Caenorhabditis elegans: one gene and its partners. The protein of the gene in region 1 purifies or fractionates together with the protein of each later gene. This does not show direct contact. Each region holds a gene or a part of one and is shown in the gene's direction. Other genes may lie near its edges.

Region 1 (4,248 bases):
AAATTTTCTAACGATTCAATGTTTTCAGGATCGCGAATTCACGGGAATGTTCGATTGTGCTAAGAAAATAATTAAAAGTGACGGAGTTCCAGGCTTATACAAGTAACTGATTTTTTTTGTGTAACTGATTTCAAATTATTTATTTTTCAGAGGTCTGATTCCATCGCTTCAATACATGATTATCTATCGAGGAGCATATTATGGTCTGTTCGATACAACGGCTCCATATATGAATAGTGACGGAAAGATGACATTTACTGAAGCATTTCTTGTTGGACAAGTCGTCACTCTGATCGCTGCAATGACATCTTATCCACTGGATACTGTAAGAAGACGACTGATGATGGGTGCTGGAAAGAAGACGTTACCGTTCAATAACACAATATCCTGCATCAAAGTAAGATCATTTAATTGCTTCTCGGACAAAGATTTATTTATTTTCAGTACATTTACACGAAGGAAGGACCCAAGGCATTTTTCCATGGAGCCCTGGTGAACGCGATTCGTGGAACTGGTGCAGCATTGGTTCTGGCGATTTACAATGAACTTCAGAAGTACATGTGACAACCTTCCATAATATAGATAATCTTTAAAATTTCTAGTGCATTCTCTTATTTGTTCGAAAATCAGGCTCTTTTAGAAATACGTGTAAATTTGTATGTTGAAGCCTGTGCCCATTGTTTTCTGTTATGATAACGAAGAAAAGCTTTTTTTGAATCATTTTTTTTATTCAGTAACAAAACAAGATCACTGATCCACAGTTATATATGATCCATTGATTGTGCGTTCACCGGAAAGAAGAATTCCTTTCGTTGATGTTGGAGCAGATGGTGATTTGATAGTGAGCACCGCCTGAATTTCAACAATAACTAATGAACGACAATATTGCAGATTTCACGAACCTTTGCTGATGCATCTTTTCCAAAACCATGGCTTACTGGCGACATCTGGACAAATACGTGGCAGCGGGGTTTCAGAATATCCACAGCATTCGAATGGATAGAGAAAGAAGCGAGAAGAAGCGCATTTTCTTGTGATAACGTCTTTAAATGTGTGTAGATTTTGTGCACGAAAATGGTAGTTTCAACTGAAGTTGCTCCAAATTGCTCCAATATTGAAAGATCATCGAAGAGAATAACTGACGCAGAGGAATCAATTAATTTCTGAAAAATTTTGAGTTAAACAATTTTTATTCGAAAAAAGATATATGCTGAAATACCTTGTACAACTCGTCCATAATTTGTTCAGAGGTGATATCAAATAATTCGAATGGTTTCAAGAAATCGTAGAAACTAATTTGAGTGGGATTCCATCGAACTCCAGCCTTCGAACAAATCAGTCTATAACAATTAGTTTTACTTTCCATTTTATAAAGATTTACTCACTTGTAATTTGTTTCAGACAATTTGGTCGAAACAATAGCGACTTTTTGACTTGAAGTCGAAGCTGTAGAAAGGAAATGAAGAACAAATGGGAGTGACGACGCGTTATCCACTTCTTCACATACAATCAAGCCCTTAATTGACTCTTCTTGTCCTTTTAGAATTTTCAGCATTTTTTCTTTTTCTGAAAAATGTTTTTTTGTATGAAATCAAATGAAGAAAACGAAGTTTTGCAGAAAAATGAAAATGATACAATTTTAGTTTGTCCGAGAGGAGTACAAATGACTCGTAAATCGGTTTCCCCTCCCTTGGGTCTCGCAGGGAAGAGCCGTTGCCTCGACGACATTTACGGGCATTTTGATATTTCAAAACTGTTTTTTTGGCAAATTTGCATAATGAACACTTTTCGTCGATAAATCATCGTTTTTTGTGATTTTTTGCAATTCACATTTAAAAAAGAGTTTATTGCAGGCATGAGCTTGGGTCAATTGTCATATACACCAGTGACGGATGTTGGAATTGGAGCAATTGAGTTGTATTTTCCCCAGAACTTTGTCGATCAAAATGATTTAGAAAAGGTATTAATACCATTATTTCTTCAATATTGATTCCTAAATTGCAGTTTAACAATGTATCCAGCGGAAAATACACAATTGGACTGGGGCAACAGCAAATGGGATTCTGCTCGGACAACGAGGACATCGTATCCATCTCCCTTACAGTCACAAGGAAACTTATTGAAACTTACAAAGTAATATTCGCTATCAAAGTACTTAGTTTCCTCAGTTTCAGTGTGTTTAGATCTCGACTGATTCGATTGGCTGTTTGGTTGTAGGTACCGAAACAATGATCGACAAGAGCAAAAGTGTGAAGACAGCTTTAATGGACTTATTTCCTGGAAATTCGGATATTGAAGGAGTCGACATCAAAAATGCCTGCTTTGGAGGCGCACAAGTGAGTTTTTTGTCTCTCAAAATAGAATCTTCAATTATATTTTCAGGCACTGCTGCACGCTATCGATTGGGTCACAGTGAATCATCCGCTTGATAAGAAAAACGCAATTGTAGTAGTCGCGGATATTGCAATATATGAAGAAGGTCCAGCGAGATGTACAGGCGGTGCAGGAGCGATTGCTTTTCTTATTTGTCCAGATGCTTCTATTCCGATTGATCGGCAGTTTTCAGCGTGTCACATGAAAAACACGTGGGATTTCTTTAAGCCAATTAGTAAGCTATTAATTTCTCTATTTACTTTTAAAAAATTAAATTCCAGCGCCGATTCCGAGTGAATACCCCGTTGTCGATGGATCATTATCATTGAGCTCATATTTGGAAGCAGTCAGAATGACATACACATATTTCATATCAAAAGTTAATCGCCATACAACGGGTATCGACGGGCTGAACTCATTTGACGGAGTGTTTCTTCACTCACCGTTCACGAAAATGGTTCAAAAAGGCCTGGCTGTGATGAACTATACTGACTCGCAACTTCGTCACAAGCAATTGTAGGTTGATTAGTTTAGAAAAATTTTCAAATGTTTATTTTATTCAGAAATGGAAATGGTGTCGATCATAAACTCGATGAAAACGATCGCGCTGGACTTGCAAAAATGATCGAATTGTCTGCTCAAGTTTGGAAGGAAAAAACAGATCCATATCTTGTTTTCAACAGGCGAATCGGAAATATGTATACTCCATCACTCTTTGCTCAACTTTTAGCATACTTGGCAGCAGATGATTGGTATGATGAAGAATATACCGATTTTTAGAGCTAATTTTTAAAATTACTTTTCAGCGTCACCGGGGAGAAAAGCATTTTATTCTTCGCCTATGGAAGTGGTCTAGCGTCAGCAATTTTCCCAGGAAGAGTTAGGCAGACATCTAATCTTGATAAAATTCGTCAAGTCGCAATAAGGGCGATTAAAAGGCTCGATGACCGAATTCAGTTTACTCCAGAAGAGTTTACAGAAACATTACAAAAAAGAGAAGTTTTCCTACGATCAAAAGGTGAGTAATTCTAATAGTGATTGGTTTTTAATGTCATTTTGTTTTTCAGAGATTCCAAAATCTCCATCCGAAACTTCATTGTTTCCCAACACTTATTTCCTTGATAACATGGACAAGCTTTATCGCCGATCATATACTTTACACGAGGAACCAAACGGTGTTCAAAACGGGAACGGAATTCATCATTAAAAATGTATCTTTTGTTTTTTTTTTTTTAGTTTTTAATTTTATCACATCGTTTGCCATAGTCTACTTCTTTGTTACTGTTTTTTATTCGCTCATTAGAGTTGTATTTTCTTTTCTTTTTTTTAAATTAAAACGAGTTGTTTTTTTCTGATAATTGATTTTGTTGAACACGTGTACTATTGTCACGACAATATTTTCCATTTCTCGAACGGCTCAATTTAATTTCAAAGTTAAGATGGGAAGAGATCGGTCGTCAAGCTCGGACACAGACGACTACTACCGCTCCAGCAGCAGCAGGTATGCACCGGACTTTTGAACGAAACATGTTTCATTTGGAGGACCATGATGTGAAGCGGTTAAATATAAATTCCAGAACAGCTTGTGGGAAGCTTCGTGAGCCCCACGAAACCACTGCTCTGAGCATCTTCAAAAACTCACCGCAAGCTCGGTTCTGAAATTTCGCCGCTTAAAATTCATATCTCACCGTTCCTGAATTTTTTCACATGAAACATGCCTAGTAAAAAATCCTGATGGCACCATCGGCCCCTCAGAAGTAAACCATCCAAAATTAGAATTTCAGAAAAAGAGAAGATTCACACCGCCGTCGCGACGATCGGCATCGGGACTCGGATCGAGATCGAGATCGACGAAGGAGAAGGTACGATGTGTTC
Region 2 (5,229 bases), on another chromosome or scaffold:
AAAATTTGCCGCGAAGATCATTATTTATATATTAAAAAATATTATGAATTGATACTGGTATAGGGTTAGTATGGGGATATGGTCAGTGTACTGTAGTAGTACTGTAGGGGTACTGTATGAGTACTGTAGGATTACTGTAGTTTTGGAAAAATTGACTTTTTGTCTTTTGAAGAGATATTGGTTTGAGGTTAGTAGGGGGTATAGCCGGGGTACTGTAGTAGTACTGTAGGGGGTGCTGTAGGAGTACTGTAGTTTAAGAAAAAATTTAGTTTTTTTTTTTCAAATTCAAATTTAATGGGAAAATTTTTTGGTGGGAATTAAAATCTTCTGTGATAAAATTTTGGCTGAAATTCAAATTTTCTGAGAAAAAAAACAACTTTTTTAGAAAAATCTGGAAACTTCTAGAATTTTCTAAAAATTGAATTATAATTTTTCAGACCAAACTGGCGACTAGAGTGGCGACTAGACTGAAAATTTTTCAGAGCGACTTTTTTGCAGCTCAAAGCTGTGCTCCCACTTGGTTTCAGTCCGTCAATACGGTTTGATCTACAAAAAATGCGGGAATTTTTTTGCCCAAAAAAATGTGACGTCACTCTTAACCATGCAAAATCAGTTGAGAACTCTGCGTCTCTTCTCCCGCATTTTTTGTAGATCTACGTAGATCAAACCGAAATGGGACACTCTGCCACTGATTTTTTTTGCACCAGGGGCCTATTTAGAATGGGGTTTTTTTTCAAACGAATTAGGTTTTATTTAGAAGTCTGGAACTTAGTTAAAATATATTTTATTTGGCCCTTGTAAGTTTAAGTTTTTCAGAATTTTCAGAACTTTTTGAAAGAATTTTGGCGCGCGAAACTTGAATGCTGTGGTTTTTCATGCTACGTGGCTGCAAAACTTCTATTGTCGCAGATAGAGTATACAATCAATGTCCTGGATCTATCTCGATTTCATTCGCATGTCTCTCTGCGGCTCTCATCTACCAATACTCTCTCACTTCTATCTGTTCGTTGCGATCTCTGCGCTGCCGTCCTTGACCGCGATATGTCATACAGAAACTGTATTCATTCTCGACTTTCTATTTTTTTTTGTTTTGGAGAATTTATGTTCATCTTAAAATTAATTTGGTTTTTGAACATATTGAGGAAACGGTTTTTTGAAAAATAATTTGCTTTTTTTAAAAATTTTTTTCCCAAAACACATTTTAAAAAATTAATTTTAAAAAATTTCTTTGACAAGCGACACGCGGTTCTGGCTTCCCTCATAAATTGAAATGGAAGAATTTGCCGAACTAGGCCAGGCCATATCCGGGGTAGATTTACGGCGCGTTGCGTGTCGCGTCGCGGCTTGATTTCAGTTGTAAAACTAAATGTATTCGTTCGTGTGGAGTGCACGACTTTCCCAGTCCGGCAGGCAATTGTCAATGGAGCGGGAAAAATTTAATGAGGAAGGCCAGAACCCCGTGAAGCGACACTCCGTTGCTAGGCGTTGCAGATTTTTTGTTAAACCTTCGAAATTTCAGTGAAAAATGACCGTTTTGATTACCGGCGGGATTTCAAAAATATCTACTCAACTTGCGGAGGCGGTGCTAAAAAACGGAAGAAATGTGGTTCTTCTGCACAATAATGAGGCGGTAAGTGGTGGCCTACAAAATTTTCGAAAATTAATTTTTAATTATCGAGTAGTATAGGATTTTCCAGCTGGCCGAGAAATCCTTGTAATGGCCTTAAAAGTTTAACGTTCCTATTCCGGCAATTGGTAATTTCGGCAAATTTGCCCAAATTTGTCCAAATTGCCGGAATTGCCGGAATTGCATTTTTAGGCTCCTAAATCTACAAAAAGTATGAAATTTTTATTTCCGGCAATTCTGGCGATTGCAGGTTCTCAAATTTTTCAGCAATCGGCAATTTTGGCAATTGCCGGTTTTTTGAATTTTCGGCAATTACCGAAATTGCCGAACAGCGAAAATGGTTCCCATTGAAAATGCTAGAGTGGCCTAGAAATTCTCAGGTGGCCGAGAAATTTCATGATGGCCTAATTATTTCAAATTTCTCTTCCAGATTCCAACAAATCTGATCAATAATCCATCGCTCACACTTATCAATTTATCATCAATCAACGAGGAAGCAATCAAAAATCTAATCGAAAATTACAAAATCCAAACAATTTTCGACGCATCTCTCACCACAACTGATGTGCTCTTGGAGCCAATTCAAGGAGCTAAGAAATTGATTCTGGTAAGGTTTTAGTAAACATGCTCTATTGGCAAACATTGGGTGTACTCCACGTGAAAATAGAGAAATTTCGAATTTCGTAAAGTCAGAAATTAAAAAAAAAATCCAGAAAACTCCTGGGAAGTCAGAAATTATCAGAAAATTTGGAATATTTTTTTGAAAAATAAAATAAAAATTCCAGAAGTCCACGTGGTGTCAGGCTGTCCCATCACGGTTTGATCTACAATAAATGCGGGATTTTTCCCCCAAAAATATGTGACGTCAGCACGTTCTAAACCATCTGCGTCTCTTCTCCCGCATTTTTTGTAGATCTACGTAGATCAAGCCAAAATGAGACACTCTGACACCACCTGAAAGTCCGAAATTTCTAGAAAATGTTGAATGCTTTAAAAAAAATCAGAAAATTCCAGAGGTTTCTTTAAAAAAAAGGTTGAGAAAAATTGAAAAATTTATATCTTTTCTAAAATTCTAAAAAAAATACAAAAAAATATTTTAAAAATAAATCAACATTTCCAAAAATCTTTGAACAATTTAGAAAATTCACGAAATTGCAGAAATTTTCAGAAATTTCAAATTTTTTTGAAAAATTTCCGTAAAAGCACGCGCGCTCAGTTGACAAACCCCTAGAATTAAAAAAAAATCAATATTTTTTTCAGGGAATCACGTCAATCCTCGATGCAATCCGTAAATCCGCATCCCCACCATCTCTGGTTCTCATTAGTGGTGACGAGGTGTACGGTAGGGCGAAGAATCGTGTCGAGACCCAACCTCTAGAGCCGGTCACATTCATCGGCTCAGCTCAAATGTCCGTTGAAGCAATGGCTCACAGCTATGCTGTCAGTTATCGTATTCCAATGGTCATCGGAAGGGTATCCGATGATTTATCGATTTCTGACGCGACACGTGGATTATTGGCAATTGAAAAGTTGGCACAAAGCCAAAAACCAGCGGAGGTCTACAATATTTCGGCTTCTTCAGCTGAAAAAATTCAGAAAGAAACGAATTGGAGCCCGTCTGGCTCTGTAAAGGAACAGGGACCCATCGAAGAAGTTTTTAAGCCAATTTTCTTAGTTTTCGGAGCTAATTCGGAACTGAAAACTCAATTTTTGGAGCTGCTAAAGCTGGAGGGACTGGTTTCCAAGGTTTGATCTCAAATTTTTGTATTACGGTAGCCACAAAAAAACACCATACTTTACGACAATTTGCAGAAAATATCTAAAAATTACGTCTTTTGTATTACGGTAGCCTCAAAAAAAAAAACACCATACTTTACGACAATTTGCTGCTCCAGGGGTAAAACTAAGCGGGAAATTCAAAAAAAGTGTCTAAAATTCGTTTCTAAATTTTTAAAACTCTCAAAAAGTCAAAACTTAACTAATTTCCAGGAATCCACAATCACAAATCTGCAAGAAGCCACTGATAAATCGGTTATCGATGAGATTAACACAATCAATCCATCCCATTTGGTTTATTTCGGAAATGAAACCGGTAAGTGACTTGGTGGCTGAAGACAGTGGCCGCAAAAAGTTTTTAGGCCATGAAATTATATTTTTTGGTCGGAAATGCTTTTCTTTTTACGCTAAAAAAATCAAAAATGCCAAAAAACAATTTTTTTTGGACTTAAAATTTGTCTCAAAATTCAATTTCACGAATCACGGGTTCTGGCCTTTCTCATTGAATTTTTCGCGCTCCATTGACAATCGCCCGCCGGAAAACGTGTGGGAAAGTCGTATACTCCACACGGACAAACACATTTAGTTTTACAACTAAAATCAAGCCGCGACGCGACACGAAACGCGCCGTAAATCTACCCCAGATATGGCCGAGCCAAAATGGCCTAGTTCGGCAAAAACTCTTCCATTTCAATTTATGAGGGAAGCCAGTGGCCGCAAAAAGTTTTTAGGCCACGAAAGAATCTTTTTGGTCGAAATTTATGTCAATTTATGCTTTAAAAAAATTCAAAAATGTCAAAAAAAAAATTTTTTTTGGACTTAAAATTTGTCTCAAAATTCAATCAAAGCTTTTTTCGCTAAAATATTTTTTCACCGAGAAAAAAATTCTGGGCCAAAAAAAAGCTTTTTATTTCAAATTCCAGACTCATTCGAAGGCGACTGCTTCACTCTCCGTACCAATATGGCGACTAATCTCTATTTTCCATGGCTTCTCGCAAGTATTGCCGAAAAGTTCTCCCTACACTTCACCCATTTTGGAAATACTTCTATGAGCCAAGAGTCTTCAGCTCTTGCCGTTAAAGGATACACTGGGAAAATGTTGGAATATTTCGAAAAAACGCTCATAATTGGACAGAAAATCGATAAAAACGTGCTGGAATCGATTAAGGCATGCAAGACTGGAGGACTTAATAATAATATTTAATTATTGAATTTTTGCAAATTATTTTTGAACTTAAAGCATTCCTTTTTCTGCGATTTTTTCAATCAATAAATTTTGAAATTAGTGTTGTACTGGCAAATTGGCAAAATGCCGGAATTGAAAATTTCAGGCAAATCGGCAAACCGGCAATTTGCCGAAATTGGAAATTTCTGGCAAATCGGCAACCCCGCAATTTGCCAGAATTGAAAATTTCCGGAAAATCGGCAAATCGGCAAACCAGCAATTTGCCGGAATTTAAAATTTTCAGCAAATCGGCAAACCGGCAATTTGCCGGAATTGAAAATTTCCGGAAAATCGACAAACCGGCAGATTGCCGGAATTTAAAATTTCCGGCAAATCGGCAAACCGGTGAATAGCCGCAATTTGAAATTTCCGGCAAATCGGCAAAACTGGCAAATTGCCGTAATTTAAAATTTCTGGCAAATTACCAGAATTGAAAATTTACGGCAAATTAACGGAATTGAAAATTTCTGCCAAATCGGCAAACCGGCAATTTACCGGAAATGAAAATTTCCGGCAAATCGACAACCCGGCAAATTGCCGAAAATGACAATTTCCGGCAAATCGGCAAACTGGCAATTTGCCGACTTTCCGAATTTGTGGA
Region 3 (6,123 bases), on another chromosome or scaffold:
AACCGAAAATTCGAAAAATTCCAAGACTCCATATCAAACGAGTTGATAGAAGAAGTCGGTGGGAAAATATTCGAACGAAAAGTAGGGGAAAATGATGGAAAAATAATATGTTTACTTTTCGCCTCTGCGCCATTTTCCATCAAAAAATGGCTTTGCTGAACCATTAAATGGCAGGAGAGAGAGCAGGGGGAGAAAAGAGAGCAGCAGCAAACAGAAACCCGAGAATTCAAGAGTCTCTAGGTTCCCAATTTCATTTTGTGAGAAGAGTTCAGCAGAAGAAATACATGATCAGCTGGTGGTGCTAATTAGAAGGACGGGGTACTCTCTCTCTGTGAGGTGTCACTTTTAGTTGGAAATTTCCAACAAAAAAACTGACAAGGGAAAGGACAAACTTCTATCAAAATTCAGTGACATTTGATTTATATGAAAATCGAGTTATTTTCTAGTTTAAAAAAATTGGGAGAACGCTCCAAATTCAACTTTCAGACAATTTTTGAGCGTTCTCCCTATTGTTTTAACTAGAAGAAACGGCAATTTTCAAATGAATCCTATGTTTTTTCTATAATCTATCACTGAATTCTAATGAAAAATATTGTAGAATTTCTGGCCGGCAATTGCCAAAAACCGAGTTTTATGGGTTGGGCACACTGTAATTGGCCTGTAATTTGGGTGAGAATTTCACAATTTTTTGTTGATGCACCGGAAGGAGAATGATTCACACTTTACTGATGGACTGTACATCTGATCATCACTTGGAGAGACCGAAATGTTCACTTTTTTTGTGTTTTTTGTTCGATTGCACCATGTGTTTTCCAATAAAAATTAGTGTAAAAATATGGAAAAATCAAGTAATTTTCTATATTTTGACACTAATTTTTAGTCTAACAACATGGTGCAATCGACCAATTTCATCAATTTTCCACGTTTCTCCCCCACCAGATACGCCGTTCAATCGATTTCCCATAGCCCTCTCAAATGACCTTAACCTAGTCTCCGTTTCTTCTATATCAATATTCGAAATCTCTGATTCCCGTGGAAAAATCTTTATCTATCTATCTTCTCCTAGATGTATACATGTTTCTGTATGGTCAAGTCCTCCACTTTTTGTTGGATTTTTGGGATTTGAACAGCTTTTTGCTTTGAATTTTTTGTCTTGTAGGCTAAAAAATCTTGAAAATTTATAAAATTGAAATACCATTTTTGATAGTTAATTGAAATAAGTCAAAAAAAAATATTTTTTCCGAAATTTTTACCCAAAAGCTTTGCCAAACGTTTTATTGTGCTATTTTTCAAAATTTTAGCCTTCAAAACGAAATTTTTTCAAACTAATACTAGTGAAAAAGGAGAATTTTGCAATTTTTGTTGTCGAAATCCCGCATTTTATTACTCATTTGCGAAATTTTGCGCTAAAACTACGGTACCTGGTTTCGACACGACAATTGTTAAATACAAACGGATATGCGCCTTTAAAGAGTAGTGTAGTTTTCAACTTTTGTTGTTGCGGATTTTTTCAAAATCGATTTTTCATTGTTTTTTTCTTTGAAAATATATATCAAAAATTATGAAAAATCGATTTAAAAATAATACCACAGCAACGAAAGTTTAGAAAATACAGTACTTTTTAAAGGCGCACACTCGTCTGTAGCTTACAAAAAAAATTGTCGTTTCGAGACCGGGTACCGTATTTCTTGCGCGACGAAATTACTCGATAATTCTCAACTGAATTCCAGGATGGTCTATACCCCGAAAAACGTGGTTATCACCGGCGGATGTGGCTTCATCGGTTCGAACTTTGTCAACTACATTCACGATGCTTGGCCGACGTGTAATTTTGTGAACATCGACAAGCTCATTCTGAACAGTGACACTCAGAATGTGGCAGAGTCGGTGAGAAATTCCCCACGGTACAAGTTGGTACTCACTGATATCAAGAATGAGGCGGCGATTCTCAACGTTTTTGAGCAGAATGAGGTATGGATTGGAGAGCTTCTTCTAAATGAGACCTGTGCTCATTTGAAAGAGCACATTTTGGATAGGTCACTATAAAAAATTTAGCAAGCACTTTGAACTAGAAAAATGTCTCCAGATGTGGATTTTTGCCAGCTTTTGATGATTTTCAGAGTTTAGAGGTGGACAAACATTCTGAAAGCTTTTTGGAATTTTTAAGAAATTTCCAAAAAGTATTCAGAACGTTTACCTACCTCTAAACAGCCAAAAAATCATCGAAAGCTGGCAAAAATCCACAGTTGGAGAAATTTTTTTTCTAGTTCAAGGTGCTCCCCAGCTCCTAAATTTTTTGTAGTTACCAATCTAAACGATCCTATTTCATATGACACAATGACCATCTTTAAATGCTAAAATTCAGATCGATACCGTAATCCATTTCGCCGCTGACTGTACTTCTACTCGGTGCTACAATGAGACCGCTGAAGCCGTTCAGAACAATGTTCTATCGTTCATCCAATTCTTGGAAACTGTTAGAACCTACGGAAAGATCAAACGATTCGTTCACATCAGTACAGACGAGGTTTACGGGGACTCTGATCTCTCGGAGAATGAACAAGGAAAAGTGGAATTCTCTCGACTTGTTCCAGGAAATCCGTATGCTGCCACTAAAATCGCCGGAGAGGCCTACGTCCGTGCCTACCAAACTCAGTACAACCTTCCAATTGTGACTGCCCGGATGAACAATATCTATGGGCCAAACCAGTGGGATGTCAAGGTGGTTCCAAGATTTATTGAGATTGCAAAGGTCCGTGGGGAATACACAATTCAAGGAAGCGGCAAGCAACTTCGCTCTTGGCTTTTTGTGGACGATGCTAGTGCAGGATTGAAGGCAGTTTGTGAGAAAGGAGAACTCCACGAGATTTACAATTTGGGGACTTATTACGAGAAAAATGTTGCTGATCTAGCGAAAACGATTCAAGAAGAAGTTGATCTACAACTCGGAAGAGCCCACGAGCCACCAAAATACAAATCGATTCCCGATCGTCCGTACAATGATCTTCGCTATTTGATAAGTATCGAGAAGGCGAAAAATGATCTCGGCTGGGAGCCAACGACCTCGTTTGATGATGGAATGCGTCACACTGTTGCGTCGGCACTTAAGGAACATAAACATGTGAAGATGCACGTGGCAATCTATGGAGGAAAGGGATATGTTGGTCAGGAGTTGCAGCACGTGCTCAATGATAGACACATTCCATACGTGTTGGCAACGAAAAAAGTCGGATTTGATAGTGATGAAGAGGTAGGAGGAGAGGATGGAAAAATGTGGTTTTGCTGAATTGAAAATTTCCGGCAAATCGGCAAAACTGAACATTTCCGGCAAAACGGCAAATTGTCAAAATTGAAAATTTCCGGCAAATCCGCAATATGCCGAAATTGGAAAACGCCGGCAAAACGCAAAAGCCAAAATTGAAAACTTCCGGCAAAATGGCAAGTTGCCAAATTTGAAAATTTCCGGCAAGACGGCAATATGCCAAAATTAAAAAATTCCGGCAAAACGGCAAATTGCCAAAATTTAAAAAATCCGGCAGAACGGCAAACTTCCGGGAAAACGGCAAATTGCCAAATATGGAAATTTCCGGGAAAACGGCAAATTGCCAAAATTAAAAAATTCCGGCAAATCGGCAAAATGGCAAATTAAAAAATTCCGGGAAAACGGCAATTTTTTTTTCGAGCGTTAAACTACCATAAAATGGAAAATATTAAACTTTTCCAGGTTGAAAGAGAACTTGCCCTTCTTGGAGTGACCCACGTGATCTGCGTGACTGGAAGAACCCATGGGCCCGGCTGCAATACTATTGAATACCTCGAGGGTAGAGCTGATAAGGTTTTCATTAACGTCAGGGATAATATGTATAGGTAGGTGGTCGAGAAAACTGATAGTAGGCACCTGTGCCGGTAATGAAAAGTACCGGCAAATCGGCAAACCGGCAATTTGCTGAGAATGCAAATTCCCGGCAAATCGGCAATTTGCTGGAATCGAAAATTACCGGCAAATTCGCTTTTTTCCAGCGCAACAATTTTGGCGCACATGTGTCGAAAATTGGGGCTGCACTATACGTACATTGGCACTGGTTACATGTTTGCTTATGATAAGGAACACCCGATTGGAGGCGCTGAGTTCAAAGAGGAAGGTTTGTGGGAAAAATATAATTTTTATAGTTTTAAAGGAGAATGCCGCAATTGAAAATTTCTGGCAAATCGGCACATTGCCGGAATTGAAAACTTCTGGCAAACCGTCAATTTGCCGGAATCGAAAATTACCGGCAAATCGGCAAATTGCCGGAATTTAAAATTACCGGCTAATCGGCAAATTGCCGGAATCGAAAACTTCTGGCAAATCGTCAAATTGTCGGAGTTAAAACTTCTGGCAAATCGGCAAATTGCCGGAATTGAAAATTTCTGGCAAATCGGTGAATCGACAAACCGGCAATTTGCCGGAATCGAAAATTTCTGGCAAATCGTCAAACTGTCGGAATTGAAAATTTCTGGCAAATTGGCATATTGCCGAAAATGTTCGGCAAATTGTGGTTTTGAACTTTTTTTTTGGAAATTTCAAAATTTCCAGTTCAATCGGCAAAATTGTACGCATACTAGGAATGTTCCTACATCTATTTTGAAATTTTTGAAAAAAAAATTCCGGCAAATTGGCAAACCGGAAATTTGCAGAGGATCAAAATTTCCGGCAAATCGGCAAACTGCCGGAATTGAAAATATCTGGCAAATCGCCAAACCGGAAATTTGCCGGAAATTTTTCAAATTCCGGCAAATCGGCAATATGCCGGAATCGAAAATTTCCTGCAGATCGGCAAACTGGCAAATTGGCAAACCGGCAATTGCCGCCAAACCCCTGATTACGACCAAATTTCTGTCATTCCCAGCAATTTTTGACTCTCCTCCACCAAAAATCTTTGCGGAAAAATGTTGCTTTCAGACGAGCCGACATTCTTTGGTTCCGCTTATTCTGTTGTCAAAGGATTCACCGACAGACAAATGAACTATTTCAATCAAAATGTGAGTTGAAAAAGTGAAAAAGTGTTAGATAAGAATTATTTCATAAATTCTTTTTTTTTTTTGAAGGGCTGGGAAAACCTCAATGTACGAATAACGCTTCCACTCAGTTTGGACTTGGAACAACCACGAAACTTGTTATCAAAAATCATCAAATACAAGGAATTATTTGATATTCCAGTGTCACTGACCATCCTTCCAGATTGTATGAATGCAATGTGCAATTTGATGGAACAACGAAGCGGTGGAACTCTGAACTTGGTCAATCCGGAGCCAATTAGTCTTTACGAAGTTGTGAAGATTTATAAGGAGATTGTCGACGAGACTGTCAATCCTACATCAATTGGAGTGGAAACTGAACGTGCTCAACATCTTCTGGCAACCAAGGGAAATTGCGCATTGGACACTGAAAAACTGCAGTCCTTGGCGCCGGTTTTGTCGGCGAAACAAAGTCTTATTAAGCACTTCAGCGAAATGACTAGTGCTGCTAAATAATATAATTTATAACAATTTTTTTGGAATGTTTTTTTTAAATTTAACTAATGAACGATTTAAAGGTGGAGAAAAATGCTTATTTTAAGCTGAAATATTCAAAATTTGCTAATTTTCGTTTTTATTTGATTATCATCCTTATATAAATATTTCGGTAATTTTCGAAATTTATTGCGTGTTTTTTCCGTCGATCGAGCAAAATTGAACTTGAATCAGCGAATAAACGCGTAAAAACTGCTTAAATATGGATTAAAAAGTGATAATTGAATAAAAATTGAGATTTTAAATAGCTGAAAAAGAATAAAGCCTGAGGCGTCTAGAGGAAAACACGAGGAAAAAACAAGGAAAAACCGAGCAAAATCGAGATGAAAGGAATCGAAAAAGAAATCGGCGCTAAATTTCAAGAGGAAAACACAAAAAAAACACAAAAATATTGTTTGTTTTGGACTAACAGGTGCAAATAGAAAAAAAAACGAAGAAAAATAAATAAAACCAAGAAAAAAGTGGTGTAGATTTACGGCGCGATTGCCTAGAATCCGACACGCTGCGTACTCCGCTCGGAGAAGGTCTCGCAGGGAAGAGACGACGCGGGGGAGATTTACGATATTTTTT
Region 4 (4,635 bases), on another chromosome or scaffold:
ATGCTGACTGAAAACGTGTCAATTGGAAAATGATGGGTCAGGAATCCTGCCTATCTTGATAAACCGGGTGGTGGTGTCATTGATTTATAAGGGTACGCGTGGAAGAACGCGGATAATGATGATGAAATGTAGACAGAGAATGATTCATTATCATATCTCTATTGATATCATATTAAAATAATGTTGCCACGTGGCACTATACTTACCTTACTTGTTTTTGCTCAAGCTTTACAAAAGTGAGCCCGGAAACAAAAAAAAGTGAAACAAAAATCGGGTGTTTTTTTCAGAAAATTTGAATTTCCCACTAAAAATTGTCTTTCTCACAAAGTTTGAATTTTCCGCCAAAAATATTTTTATCAGAAATTTGAATTTCGTGCCAAATTTTTACCTCAGAAAATTTAAGTTTTTCTGCCGAAAATTGTTCTCAAAAATTTTTTCCCGCTGAAAATTATTTTTCAAAAAATTTGAATTTCCCGCCAAAAAAATTTCTTTAAAATTTGAACTTCCCGCAAATTTGAAGAACGTTGAACAGTTAGTCCGTGTGATTTGATCTACTCGATCTCATTGATAAGATCATATACCAAAATACTATACATCTATATTCCGACTACAAACTCCCATGACACCTCACCATTCTTCTCACCCCTCCCCTCAAGCATCTTCCGATCTTCAAAGAGTTTCGTCGCCAAATTAGGGTCTCCACAGCAGCAGCATCTTTCAACGAAACGATGCCGACCCACGTGCGTTATCAGTTTCTTTTGACCACATTGCATCACTATTTGTGGTCTCCTCAATGTCACGTGTCCAACTTCCCCCGCCCCCAGCCCGCCCCTTTCGACGTCGACTCATTTCAGTTTGTCGACGACGACGAAATTCGTGACGATCCGAATTTTGCGTGAGGGTGCTATAAAAGTCGGCACTTGCATTATGTGCAGTAACACAGTGCCACTATAGTCTACTAGCACTCAGATGTTGTTTACAGTTTTTTCTTCTTCTTTCTCTCTTTCATTTTGGCGAGTTGTATCTCGGTTCATATTGTAGATATTTATAAATTTTAAACTACAAAGCTTTGTCAAATGAATTTTTTCATATGCTACATAGTTTTAAAGCTTTTATGTTACATTTGTTACTATACAGTACTATTTGTAAACTATATTTACCTAGTTTTAAAATATTTCCAAAAAAATTTTATTTCGATATTGTTTTTAGACAACCCTTATGCCACCCCAATTTTCAAGACATACAATGCCGGTTAAGGGATTTTCCAGAAAGAGTTTAAATTTCAAAACGTTTACTAACAAGATGTGGTGTATTTTTTCCGTTCATTAAGCGGCAGACGACTTGCGGGCCAATTTTTTTAACATTAAATCTGCAATTATCTGTAACTCAAGTTGATGTTTTTATATAGAACATTTGAACAAAAATTGAATTGCCGGAATGGAAATTTTCGGCAAACCGGCAATTTGACAGAATTTAGAACTTCCGTCAAAACAGCAAATTGCTAATTTGCCGCAAAAATGGTAATTACGGAATATTTTCGGCAAATTGTGGCTGTGCACATTTTTTTTTTGGAAATTTTAGATTATCAATTTTATCATTTTTAAATCGGCAAAGATTATCAATTTAATTCTGCATAATTGTACGTATCCTATGAATGCTCCTACATCTATTTTAAAAAGCAAAAAATTTCCATGAAAAGATTTCGAAAAAACGGGCAAAAAATTTCCAAAAAGGCTTAGTTTCCGTCTTATAAAACATCCCTTTAAAAACTTCAGGCAAATTGTTATTCGGCAATTTGTCAAAAATCAAAGTTTCCGGCAAGTCCACAAACCGACAATTTGCCGAATTTTTTCGAAAAAAAAATTTGCCGAACTGCAATTGCTGCCCACCCCCCTGGACTTTTTTCTTCCTTTTTTATCCTTAAACTCTATAAATTCCAGAAAACTCAAAACTTCAATCAAAATGACTACATTCGACAAAGGAGCAAAACCAGATATCGGCACTTTTGTTGCATTCGACCATGTTAGATTTGTAGTCGGAAATGCTAAACAAGCTGCCTACTGGTATTGTGCAAACTTTGGCTTTGAGCCATTTGCCTATAAGGGGCTCGAGACAGGATCTAGAATTACTGCTCAACACGCTATTCGACAAGACAAAATCGTGTTCATTTTCGAGTCAGCATTGTTGCCTGATAATTCAGAACTCGGAAATCACCTTGTTCAACATGGAGATGGAGTTAAGGATGTGTGCTTTGAGGTTGAGGATCTTGATTCGATTATTGCACACGCAAAAGCTGCAGGAGCAACTATTGTGCATGATATTACTGAAGAGTCAGATGCTGATGGATCCATTCGATATGCTACGCTTAGAACGGTAAGAGACTTAAAAATAAAAATATCTTCAAAAATTCCGAAGTTGTTAAATTGCACTGAAGATTGACCAGGAAAATTTGGTGGAATTAAAAAATTTTTGAGAAAAAATTTTGACGAGAAATGCAAATTTCTAATAATCCAAACAATGAAATATTATTTTTAGTATGGAGAAACCGACCACACCTTGCTGGAACGTAAAAATTATCGTGGAGCATTCCTGCCCGGCTTCAAGGCTCATCCAATGCCAGCCACATTCTTCAAGACTCTTCCACGCGTTGGATTGAACTTCCTCGATCATTGTGTCGGTAATCAGCCAGACTTGCAAATGGACTCAGCTGTTCAGTGGTACGAGAAGGTGCTGAAATTCCATCGATTCTGGTCTGTTGATGATTCCATGATTCATACCGAGTACTCGGCTCTTCGTTCCATTGTTGTAACGAATTTCGAGGAGACTATTAAGGTTAGTTAATATAAAGAGATCGATGGAGTGCGGCTGTCCTGTGAGATGTCGGCTGCTAGTTTTTATTGTAAAGAAACAGCAGCCGACAAATCGCGGGTTTTAAAAAGACGCACGACCTTTTTTAATTCAAAAAATTATAGCAAGATTTCTTGTGGAAAATACATATTAGTAATTTTCAACAAAAAAAAATCAAGATATCGATTTGGTAAATACGGTGTCCTATGAGATGTCGGTTGCTAGTTAGTCTTTATAATCAATAGAAAAATAACAGCAGCCGACATATCGCGGGTTTTAATTTTTTTTTCTTGTGGAACAATTGTGTACTCTACGTGGGAAATGAATAATTGTAATTTTCGTGTAGTCCTCCAGGGCATTTTGAATATGGAATACTGAGTATCTAAACATTTTCAACATCTATTTCAGAAACCATTTTTTAATTTGAATACGACGAATGTTTTAAATATTCGATTTTTGGGAAAATAATTGAATTTTCAAATAATTGTGTTTTTTTTTCTGGCTCTCCAGAAAATTGACAAAATAATTTAAATTATTTTCTGAAAAACACTGAATAACATAGAAAATGCTTAAACTTTTAATACAAAAATTTTGCAGATGCCAATCAACGAGCCAGCCACATCGGACAAAAAGGCAATCTCCCAAATCCAGGAATACGTGGATTATTACGGAGGATCCGGTGTTCAACACATCGCACTCAACACATCCGACATCATTACTGCAATTGAAGCTCTTCGAGCCCGTGGCTGTGAATTCCTTTCCATTCCATCAAGCTACTACGATAACCTCAAGGAACGTCTCGCGGCTTCTTCAATGGTAGTTAAGGAGGATATGGATCGTCTTCAGAAGTTGCACATTTTGGTGGATTTCGATGAGAATGGGTATTTGCTCCAAATCTTCAGTAAGCCATGCCAGGACCGTCCGACACTATTCTTGGAGATTATTCAGCGACAGAATCATGAAGGATTCGGAGCCGGTAACTTTAAGGCTCTTTTCGAGTCTATTGAATTGGAACAGACAAAGAGAGGCAACTTGTTCTATGATAATGTTAAGGATGGAAATACTAAGTAACTTATATTTTTTTTATTTTGCAACGACACTTCGTTGCCAAGACCCAAAGTGAATTCCATGTGCCATGAGATTGTATTATAGTTCCCCCTAACAAAGATACCCATTCCCACAACGGTTTCCTGTTTTTTCTATTGATTCTTGTTGCATTTATATTGAGAGAATAAAGATTTTATGAAAGAATTGTTGAGTCTTAATATCAAAACAAATGTGGAACCCGTGGGTCGTCGGCCGCTGCTTTTTAACACATGCGGCGAGGTGACGCCATGAGGCAGGCGCAGGCACCGTTACGGCGACCTCATGAGAGCCCTAAATTTTGCATATAAATGGTCGGCTTTAGTCAATCTCAATTTGTGCACTAAAACTTATGACTGAAAATCCACTTTTTCTGCTTGAACTTAGCGGATATGAAACTTTTTTTATTTGGTTTTTTTTACATTCTGAATGAACACAAAATTTGCAACAGAATGGCTACGGGGATGTTTGAAAAAGTTAGTTTGAAGCCAGATATTAATTTTTAAAAATTGGAAACGTCTTTCCTGATAATTCAAAATACTCATCGAACCATTTAACAATCTCAAACTCTGCCACGTGTTTATTGTTCTCGACAAAGAAATGGAAGGGGAAAAGGGGGTTCTGAGGAATGGTCTGGGGAATGGGAAAGGGCAAATAATATAGAGAAAAAAAACGGAAAGTGTCGTACCCAAATATGTGCACAAA

Evidence for each region.
Region 2: the proteins of hmgs-1 (region 1) and rml-5 fractionate together in Caenorhabditis elegans (co-fractionation; one large-scale study listed by BioGRID). This does not show direct contact.
Region 3: the proteins of hmgs-1 (region 1) and rml-4 fractionate together in Caenorhabditis elegans (co-fractionation; one large-scale study listed by BioGRID). This does not show direct contact.
Region 4: the proteins of hmgs-1 (region 1) and hpd-1 fractionate together in Caenorhabditis elegans (co-fractionation; one large-scale study listed by BioGRID). This does not show direct contact.

Annotation. Positions count from the first base shown.
Region 1 is NC_003283.11:5,682,195-5,686,442, reverse strand, and holds hmgs-1 (Hydroxymethylglutaryl-CoA synthase), read left to right. Parts: upstream 1-1,853; 5' UTR 1,854-1,855; coding exon 1,856-1,960; intron 1,961-2,004; coding exon 2,005-2,133; intron 2,134-2,183; coding exon 2,184-2,336; intron 2,337-2,382; coding exon 2,383-2,608; intron 2,609-2,654; coding exon 2,655-2,889; intron 2,890-2,936; coding exon 2,937-3,125; intron 3,126-3,179; coding exon 3,180-3,391; intron 3,392-3,440; coding exon 3,441-3,580; 3' UTR 3,581-3,722; downstream 3,723-4,248. Other genes in the region: F25B4.7 (ADP/ATP translocase), read left to right, coding at 29-102, 151-397, 445-564; F25B4.4 (Elongator complex protein 6), read right to left, coding at 748-852, 903-1,163, 1,220-1,340, 1,386-1,555; prp-39 (Pre-mRNA-processing factor 39), read left to right, coding at 3,813-3,874, 4,158-4,235. UniProt on the Caenorhabditis elegans protein: This enzyme condenses acetyl-CoA with acetoacetyl-CoA to form HMG-CoA, which is the substrate for HMG-CoA reductase.
Region 2 is NC_003279.8:1,791,735-1,796,963, forward strand, and holds rml-5 (NAD(P)-binding domain-containing protein), read left to right. Parts: upstream 1-1,519; 5' UTR 1,520-1,525; coding exon 1,526-1,630; intron 1,631-2,057; coding exon 2,058-2,234; intron 2,235-2,887; coding exon 2,888-3,373; intron 3,374-3,616; coding exon 3,617-3,719; intron 3,720-4,326; coding exon 4,327-4,607; 3' UTR 4,608-4,690; downstream 4,691-5,229.
Region 3 is NC_003280.10:4,293,371-4,299,493, forward strand, and holds rml-4 (dTDP-D-glucose 4,6-dehydratase), read left to right. Parts: upstream 1-1,730; 5' UTR 1,731-1,731; coding exon 1,732-1,971; exon of another isoform or gene 1,972-2,226; intron 2,227-2,365; coding exon 2,366-3,250; intron 3,251-3,724; coding exon 3,725-3,867; intron 3,868-4,020; coding exon 4,021-4,142; intron 4,143-4,942; coding exon 4,943-5,022; intron 5,023-5,088; coding exon 5,089-5,514; 3' UTR 5,515-5,580; downstream 5,581-6,123.
Region 4 is NC_003281.10:10,533,586-10,538,220, forward strand, and holds hpd-1 (4-hydroxyphenylpyruvate dioxygenase), read left to right. Parts: upstream 1-1,940; 5' UTR 1,941-1,962; coding exon 1,963-2,373; intron 2,374-2,535; coding exon 2,536-2,832; intron 2,833-3,444; coding exon 3,445-3,918; 3' UTR 3,919-4,098; downstream 4,099-4,635. UniProt on the Caenorhabditis elegans protein: Key enzyme in the degradation of tyrosine.